Sus scrofa: one gene and its partner. The protein of the gene in region 1 purifies or fractionates together with the protein of each later gene. This does not show direct contact. Links are inferred from orthologs where the notes say so. Each region holds a gene or a part of one and is shown on either strand. Other genes may lie near its edges.

Region 1 (4,522 bases):
GGGAGCTGGCACAACAGATGGCTGTGTCCCCTCCTGCTGCCAGCAAAGCTAGTCACAGGGAGCCTGGATCTCTGGGGCCAACCCCCAAATTAGGCCACTGCCATCTCCTGGCTGGATGACTGCATTAACCTCCTCACTGGTCTCCCGGCTCTTGCCCCTGCAGTCTGTTCTCCACTCAGCAGTCAATGATCCTGTTAGAACCTCAGACAGATGATGTCACTTTTACTGGAAATCCTTGAAAACAATGTGATGTGTTCCCATCACACAGAAAAACAACAATAGGTATCAGGAACTCTTCTAATATCCCCATTCTACAGAACTTAGAAACTGAGGCACAAAGTTAAATACTTTGCCCAAGGTCCCGCAGCTCTAAGGGGCTGAGCCTGGGCCTGAACCCAGCCTGAGTAAAATCCCAGTGTCTCCATGGCACTCTGTCCAACTCTGCGACCTGCCTCCTCATGCCTCCCCTCATGCCTAAGCTGAACTGGCCTGTCAGCTGTTCTACCAAATGGCAAGCTCAGGTGTCCCTCCCCACGGAAATTCTCCTCCCAACTCAAATGTTATCTCCTCAGAGAGGCCTTCTCTGACCATCCTACTTAGAGTAGAATCTCCTTCTCCTTTTCCATCATATCACCTCTTCTTCAGAGCACTTATTTCTACCTGTGATTATAGTCTGCTTCCTAGTTTACAGTTTGCTCCTCTGTATCACAGCATGACCTCCATAAGGGCAGGACTGACCCTTGTTTATTCCTTTTTCCCCCTAGCATGTGTTCCAGATATACAACTAGCACCGTTCTAGGCACTGGAAATACAGGTGGTTGAGATGACAAAACCTCCTGGCCTCATGGACATTAAATCCTAAGGAGTGGAACTCAGAACTGGAGGGGTCAGGACAGAGCACTGGGTCTCCAAGAATGTCTGCTGAGCCTGGTGAGTGCTGGTCCCCGGCACCTGAGGCCCACCTCTCAATGTCCTGCAAGCGCTTGAGCTGATTCTGCAGCCGCTGTGTCGGATCTTGGAGCACACGCTGCTGTCTTCGTATGACCCCAGCTTGGGCCCGGAGGAGGAGAGCACGACGCTGGGTGTCTTGCATCCTCTGTACAGCCTGCTCCATGGCCATGTCTGTGAGAGGAACAGAGGTGGACATTAGCACTTTCCCTAACCCCGTTCTGCTGCCCATCTATCTAGCCCCACGGGTCACCCTGAGCTTCAGTCTCTCGCTCCATCAGCTCCAGGCTCTGGTCTAATTCCAGGATCTCTGCCTGCAGGCGGGCAACAGCGGCTTCCAGCTCCAACTTCCGGCGGGCCTGGTGGAATCAGGTATAGGGTCAGATGCATGGCTTGGCTGCCTTTTGTAGAACACCGGTCTATATGCCCAGGTGACTGGCTGAGGGTTTTCTCTAGGCAGTTTCTGAGCCTGGACCTCCAGGCCCAGGAGAGCACCAGAGTACTATCCTGTTCCCCTCCTTCCTCTTGGGATTACCTCATCTACTCTCCCAACCTGCTTCCTGTCTCTGTCTCAGTCCTCATCTCGTGTCGAGCCCTACATGTGGGAGTCCTGAGGTCTCCTGGGCACCAGGCACATGCTGGGTCCCGTACTGGCCTCAGCATCTCTCTCAAACTAGTCCTTTCTCCCATCTCCCACACCAGCTTTGCTGACTCATATCTATGACTCCCCACCCCCAGCTCATGTCTTCTCCCTGTGAGCACTGGGATCAGGGCTGTCTTGTGACAGTGTCCCTAGCATCATCCACACAAGGCTGGGCCTAGAGCAGAAAGCCTACAAGTCCTCTTTTTGGATGAAATAAAATTCTTGCAGCACATGCTTCTCACCTCTGGACTGTCCTGGAGGCCATACCTGAGGAAATGAGGCCAGAGTTAGAGAATGATAAGGACTTTGAGGGGGAGACGGGAGATGTGAGGCTATGGGTGAGGACACGGCTGGATAGGACTGGGGAAGACAGGAAGGGGCAGCTTTGAGGACCAGTTACCAGAGCAGGTTTCCCCGGATCTTCTTGACACTCCTACAGTGGAGAGGTAGGAGGGAGGGGAGTTACTGGGGGACTCACCTGGGTCCCCTCCCCTGCCACAGGTTCCCTCATGCAGCCAGGCTCACCTCTGGCTGTGCACATGCCTCAAGACGTAGGCCCAGATGTCAGCCCCCTGGCCCAGACACAGCCTGTGGGAACAGCAATGTGTGCCTGGGACATCACACAGGGTGGAAGATCCTCATTCATAGCACTGTGCGCGCGCGGGAGGGGGGGGTCGCTTTCTAGGGAATGCTCACCTGTGGGGGCAGGGAAGGTCCACACTTTCCAGGGTAAGCTATTCCCTCCTGGGAAATTCTCAGTTACTAAGAGGGTGGACTTCTCACTGGGTGTAGGGGGATTTGCATTCCCTGGTGGGTTGCTCCCCTTCTCCTGGGAAAGGGTCATCTCCAGTTACTTCTAGAGGTGGGGGTGAGGGCTATAATGTCAGGAAGGGCTCTCTCATTACTATACGTGCGTCATCACTCCTAAAAGATTCAATTTCCTAGTGGAGTGGTCTTTGCTGACTCCAGTGTCCTCACTGCCTGGACTAGGGTGGGGTGACGAAGTGCTGCAGGGACAGCCCCGCCCTGGAGATCCAATTTCCACACGAGAAGGGGGGCTTCATTATTATTAACTCATGGAGGGTCCCCACGGGTGCAAGGTACCTCTCTGGGCGGCCTCACTGGATGAGGGTGGGAGTGTGGGCATCACCGCCAGAACGTCCTCACTCAATTCAGGATCCTCTGCCTGGGGGGTCGGGGTTACCCTCAAGGGTTATCTCACTGGGGCAGAGGGGAGGAGGGGGGCGGCACGTCTTCGACCAAGATGTGGTTCTCGCTCCCAGAGACTCTATCTTCAGGGTGGGGAGTTCTCGCTTCCACAGCGGCCCTCACCTGCGCAGCGTCGACTCCGGGGCCCGGGCCGCCACGGGCGCCTCCATTTCTTCCGCCGCCCAACGACCCAATTCCCGCGCTTCCTGCGCTAACTCCATGACAGCGCCTCGGCCGCCGCCTCCTGCCTCGTATTCAAGTGTGGCGGTCGCCTCTGACGTCACGAGTGCGCCGGAAGTGACGCTATCGGTCGCCAGGCAAGCAGGGGCTTTCCCGCCCTGCAGGGTCTCAGAGCCCACCGACATCGCTCACGCCTCCCGGCTTGGTTCGTTTGAGTAAGGATGAAAGAGGTGTGGAGAAACGATGGGGCCGTTTGCTTTCTGCGTCCTCATTCCTACCGCTAGCTGTTCCCTAAGACGCAAAAGGTCCCTAATACCTCCCTTCATTTTCTTGACAAAATGGGACTTTAATCCTAGGAGGATGAGAATCAGGCGAAGAGATGTCAAACTTAATGCTCTTTGATTTCCACAACAGGGTGTCCCAGGTTCGAGTGAGGGATGGAAGGCAGATTGCATGACCCTAATGTCTCCCTGGCATGCTTTCTTTTAGGTATTCGTTCGTCCTTACCATTCCGTAACATTCGTGAGCTGACCCTGTGCTGGGGATGCTCCGGTGGCTGAGACAGCCCCAGTCTCCATGCTACGGAGCTCACAGTTCAGTGAGGGATATAGACGCATCACCAGGTAGGGATGGTAGATCATAAGCAGCAGGGGTGGGTCAATCTGGGACACAAGGAGTGTGAAAGGTCTGTGGAGTGTCCCAGAAAGCATTGGATACTAAGGCTGGAGTCCTGGAGAGCCCACTCAGCCTTAGACATGGCTCTGAGAAATGGTAACATTCAGGGACCTTTCATTCAATATGCTTGCCTCGTTCATCATTCTGTTCTTGTTGAATAAACACGTGGGGAGAAAGACAGTGCGGAGAAACTAAAGCTGAGAACCCAGGGAGGAGGATGGAACAGGATGAGTAGAGGATGGGGGTGAGGACAGTGCTTGGACCACTGTCAGGCTGAGCAGGTGGGTCATGTGAGGTTGACTGGCAATAGGGGGGGCATCCAGGGTGATGTCCAGGTCTCTAGGTTCAAAATGGAACAGACTTTGAAATGGAGAGATGAGAGAAGGATCAGCTTTGGGGGAGATGCTAATGACATATGAGACTCTATGGGTGTGAAGAGTCAAGGGGACATCCAAGGGTCTTTGGAGTCTCTGGTCCAGGGACAAGGGGACTCTGAGGTCACCATTAAAGTAGAAAATTTGGGGGAAAAGCTGAGTTTGTCTTCAAATGCTTCATAAGGGCTGAGATGCAAAAGAGGCTGCCAGGGACTAATTCGACAAGTGTAGCAGAAGTACCATACTCCTGCAAGATGGTAATAATAGGGGGAAATGTGTGTGGAGGGAGGGGATGTCAATGGGAATTTAATTTTTTTGTGTGATTTTCTCTAACTGTAAAAGTGCTCACCAAAATTAAAGTCTATTAAAACAAAAGTACTGGCCGAAAGCTGGAACATTGTTTAATGAATACCTATAATCATAACCTAATGACAGTAAATCAGGTGCACCTTGACCCAAGCTATATAATTATATATAAATATAAAAGGATTCT
Region 2 (4,479 bases), on another chromosome or scaffold:
AAAGACAAAAGACAAAAAAAAAAAAAATATATATATATATATATGTATACATATATACATATGTATAGGCATTTCACATGTTGTGCCATTTTTATACCTTTTTACCAACATAGTCTTCAGAAGGTGAGGATCAAAATGCAGGAAAGTGGAGTTTCCATCGTGGTGTAGCGGAAATGAATCCTACTAGGAAACCTTGAGGTTACAGGTTTGATCTCTGGCCCCTCTCAGCGGGTTAAGGATCTGGCGTTGTTGTGAGCTGTGGTATAGGTTGCAGACGTGGCTCAGATCTGGCATTGCTGTGGCTCTGGCGTAGGCCAGCAGCAACAGTTCCAATTAGACCCCTAGCCCAGGAACCTCCATATGCCGCCGGTGTGGCCCTAAAAGGACAAAAGACCAAAAAAAAAAAAAAAAAATGCGGGAAAGCATTATGTGTATAATGGGCTCCTTTTGTGAAGGGGCCACTGCACAATCCCACAGCAGTTTTGTGGGATTTGGAACACCCTCCCCTTTCCATCCCATCTGCCCTTCCAAATCAGTAGCAAAATTAGCCCTGCCTACATTACCTCCCAAAGACAGTCCCTTTCAAATCCAAATTAACCCCATCCCCAACAATACAATACCAGAGGAGGCTTATAAATATAATTACAACAGATAGAAAGCTTCAAGGACTCAGACATTCTCCCTAGTCTTGAGCTCCTGAACTGTTTCATAACAACAATCAGCTTGTTAGGAAAAAACCACCCTTTTTTTCCCTTAAGATTCTGATATATTTATTTGAAAACTAGTTTTATAACATTATAATCACACTCCACACTATATTCCAAGAGAAAAACCACCCTCTTTAACACCTTATCACTAGCAAAAGCTTCCCCAGGAGCAAACCTCCCCAGGCGCAAAAGCCTCCCCAGGCGCAAAAGCCGTACTCAGTCTGTTGTTGTTCAAGGAGAGGCTCTTCAGTAGAGTGAACTTCCCTATAATCATAGGCGGTAGACTCTCGATCTTGTTGCTGGACAAGTCGATGGTCCTGAGATTGCTTGTCAGCTTCTGCAACTCTGAGGGGAACTGATGAAAGGGGTTCACAGCGCAGAGAATCCTTTAACTTCCCCGCCCGCCGTCCCTCTCCCTTTAAATTCCCTGGTCCGAGTCCTTCCAGTCTCACCTCGGTCAGCCCACGATCCTTAAGCTGAAAGACACCAGTTTTCTGCGCGGTTTCCACATGAGCACGGAGGGCACTGTTTCCCATCCTAGCGCCACTGCTCAGGTCCCTGTGGGAAGGAAGCGCAGCTGTCACCGCTCGGTCCAGGCACCCAGCCACCCGGTTGGCCTCCCGGCTGGGTCTGAAGCCTCAGCTGTCACCTCCTGCGGATCCCTGGATCTTGGGGGCCAGCCCAAGAGTGGCTGGGAAGAAAGAGCAGAACACCAGGCCCTGCCGATTTTGCAGCTCTTCCGAAACCAGCCGCCGCTAGGAGCCTAGGGAGGATCCGGAATCCCGGAACTCGCCTCCTACCCCTCAGCTCACAGCCGGCTGGGTGGAGAAAGAACCAGGACCCGCGCTCGCAGGGGATGAGTTCCCCGCCCGGGAGGAAACACCCTGTGACGTCATCGAGCCGCGCCGAGCGTTCCACTCACTCTCCGCGCCACCCGGGAAGGTGTTGCCCAGCCATGGCTGCCGCTAGCCCCTGGGACCTGGCCTCCGCGCCAAACGCTGCCGGGCTACTGCTGGGCCATTTCGTAGCTTCAGGGTTGGTCACTCAGGTGCGTGGGGGCTATGGCGTCATTAAGGGGGTGCCCAAAGTGGTGACAGAAGATGGCTGTGAGGTGGTGGTGGTGGTGTTGGCTGCGGGAGTGGGTGTGAGGGTTAGCTGGAGGCTGTGCTAGGTTCGAGGCAAGTGGAGCTCCTTGCGGGCGGCAGAAGTGTCTAGTCCGCTGTGGGTTCTGCAAAATCTTGATTCTGAGAAGGTGTTTCAAGTGTCTGGCGAGTGAGTTACTCCAGATCATTTCATGGGCGATAATAAAGATTAGTGTTCCCCGCTTTTTTTCATTCAGTGATACCGCCTGTAGATTGTAATGGGTGGCGGGGTTGGGAAGTACGGGTGGGTGCTAAAACATAAATCTCCAAATAACGCTCGTTTGTGTGAAATATTGAGGCATTACGGGAGACGCTGGATACAGGAGAGCGGCAAGGGAGGCATGCATCTTTAAAGGCCAGGGGAAAAAAATATTGGCGAAGAAGACCCATAAAACCTTGGAACCTGAATGAAGGAAGGTGTTAATTTTGAGAAGAGAAGAGGGAGACTAGCTCAAGGGGGTGGTAGTTTTAGATTCGGCAAGGAAGCGCATGTTCGCAGGTCAAAGGGAAAGAGCCAATGGAGGGAGAAATTGAAGATGTGAGGGAGTAATGAAATAGAAATAGCAGATGTGACAAGGGAATGGGGAAAGTGGGGTTAAGAGAAGAGAAAGAAATTTTGAGGTAATGAAGAAGTTGAGAAATTTCACTAAAAAAGGAAACTGAGAAAAATAGGTAAAACCATCTGCAGAGATTAGCGGTATACACATGATGGAAGATTTGTGGGAAATATGCAAGTCTTTATACCCAGAAGAGTCATTAGAGAATTCTATTATCTGCTTAGAGTAATTTTAAGATGCAAAAACAAAAACCTAAGGAGACCAAGAAACATGTCCAAGTCACTCAACTAGCGAAGTAGTTAGATCCCGATGCTCTCCCTTTTCTGACACATCATATCATCTCTAGGATGACTTGTGACACTGTCTTGAAAGAGTTTAAACTGTTGAAGAACTTGAAGACCTAGTAACAAGACTTTTTATGGATTTTGGGGAAAATGAGTGGAAGTAAGGAATGCATTGGAAAGTAGACAAAACATAACCACAGCACTCCATAGTTCTCACCTTCCTCACTTCTCTCCTGTGTTTTCTTTCTGCCACGTTGCATAATGCTCTCACTAGTGTTGTCTAGTTCTGTACCAAAGTAATTTGCAAAGTTCATGCTACAAGATTTGGGATTTATCCCTTTAGAACGTACTGGTGGGAGATAAAAACACCTAAACCAAAGGAGTAAGTCTCTGGTGAGAGAATTGGGCTGCTGTTAGTGTCCCTCAAGTAACACTGATTAGACAGTTACCTCTTTTGCCTACAGGTAATATCTGCCAATCCATGGCTCCTTAAGCCCATCTTACAATGTTATTTATTGCACAGCTAGACCCAGTGAGGAAACTTTTGTAGATTTGTAGCATGATTTTACTTTAAGCAAACTTTACATATAAAACCTACTTTTATTACAAGGATTTATCATTGATCTTTTCAAAATGAGCTATTATATGACTGCTTTAAACAGTGTATTCCTTAAGTGCACATCATCCATGTGCATTAAAAATTAAGAGTGATGCTTAAAATTGATATGATACAACTCTTATAGAATATATAGCTTGTGTAAGTTTTTTGTTGTTGTTGTTTTGATCTATTCACTGGAGAATGATTTAGTGAAAGAATTTCTAGGGATAATATGGGATACTATTTTGCCTTATGTCCTAGGACTGCTTCAGAGGCCTTACATCCTAGATGTTATTCTGGCAAGCTTGAGTCACAGTGCCTTGATCAAAGTCCCCTCTACTGGCAGTGCATAGGATAAGGATCTGGACCTAACAAAAAACCCCTCAGGATCTCTTCTTTTTTTCCCTTTTTCTTTTTTTTGGCTGCACCCCTGGCATGTGACAGCGCAGGGACTGAACCTGTACCACAACAGCGCCCAAGCCATTGCAGTGACAACATTGGATCCTTAACCCGCTGTGCCATAAGAGAACTCCTATTTCCTAATAGAAAGAATACTACCCTCCCCACACATACATATATCATCTATTTTCTCAGTCTGTGCACTGATCTTCTCTGCACCCACCCCCATTTTAAGGTCTCTCTGCTATACTACTTCTCTTTAAAAAAAAAAAAAAATTGAGAGTTCCCATCACGCAGCAGAAACAAATCCAATCAGGAAACATGAGGTTGTGGGTCCAATCCCTGGCCTCGCTCAGTGGGTTAAGGATCTGGTGTTGTGTGAGCTATGGTATAGGTCACAGATTTGGCTTGGATCTTGTGTGGCATAGGCTATGGCATAGGCTGGCAGCTGTTGCTTCGATTCGACCTCTAGCCTGGGAACCTCCATATGCGGCAGGTGCGGCCCTAAAAAGCCAAAAAAAAAAAAAAAAAAAATTGGTCACACCTGTGACAGATGGAAATTTTCTGGCCAGGAGTTGAACCCAAGCTGCAGCTGCAACCTACACCACAGTTTCAGTAATGCCGGACCCTTTAACCACTGGACCAGGGATCAAACCCTCACCTCCACAGCAACCAAGCCACTCCAGTTGGATTCTTAACCCACTCACCACAGCAGAAGCTCCTATACTGCCTCTCCCTTTTGTTTTTTAACTTATTTTTTTGTCTTTATTTATTTTTTGCCTTTTGAGGGCC

The links.
Region 2: the proteins of HAUS5 (region 1) and HAUS2 purify together in Homo sapiens (affinity purification with mass spectrometry; 5 studies listed by BioGRID and IntAct, with this or other methods). This does not show direct contact. The link is inferred for Sus scrofa from reciprocal best matches to the Homo sapiens genes HAUS5 and HAUS2.

Annotation. Positions count from the first base shown.
Region 1 is NC_010448.4:45,056,366-45,060,887, reverse strand, and holds the start of HAUS5 (HAUS augmin-like complex subunit 5), read right to left. Parts: upstream 3,088-4,522; 5' UTR 3,022-3,087; coding exon 2,924-3,021; intron 2,180-2,923; coding exon 2,117-2,179; intron 2,025-2,116; coding exon 1,992-2,024; intron 1,859-1,991; coding exon 1,834-1,858; intron 1,308-1,833; coding exon 1,202-1,307; intron 1,123-1,201; coding exon 963-1,122; intron 1-962. Other genes in the region: ATP4A (potassium-transporting ATPase alpha chain 1), read left to right, coding at 3,202-3,210.
Region 2 is NC_010443.5:128,836,197-128,840,675, reverse strand, and holds the start of HAUS2 (HAUS augmin-like complex subunit 2), read left to right. Parts: upstream 1-1,648; 5' UTR 1,649-1,662; coding exon 1,663-1,755; intron 1,756-4,479. Other genes in the region: LRRC57 (leucine-rich repeat-containing protein 57), read right to left, coding at 924-1,062, 1,160-1,243.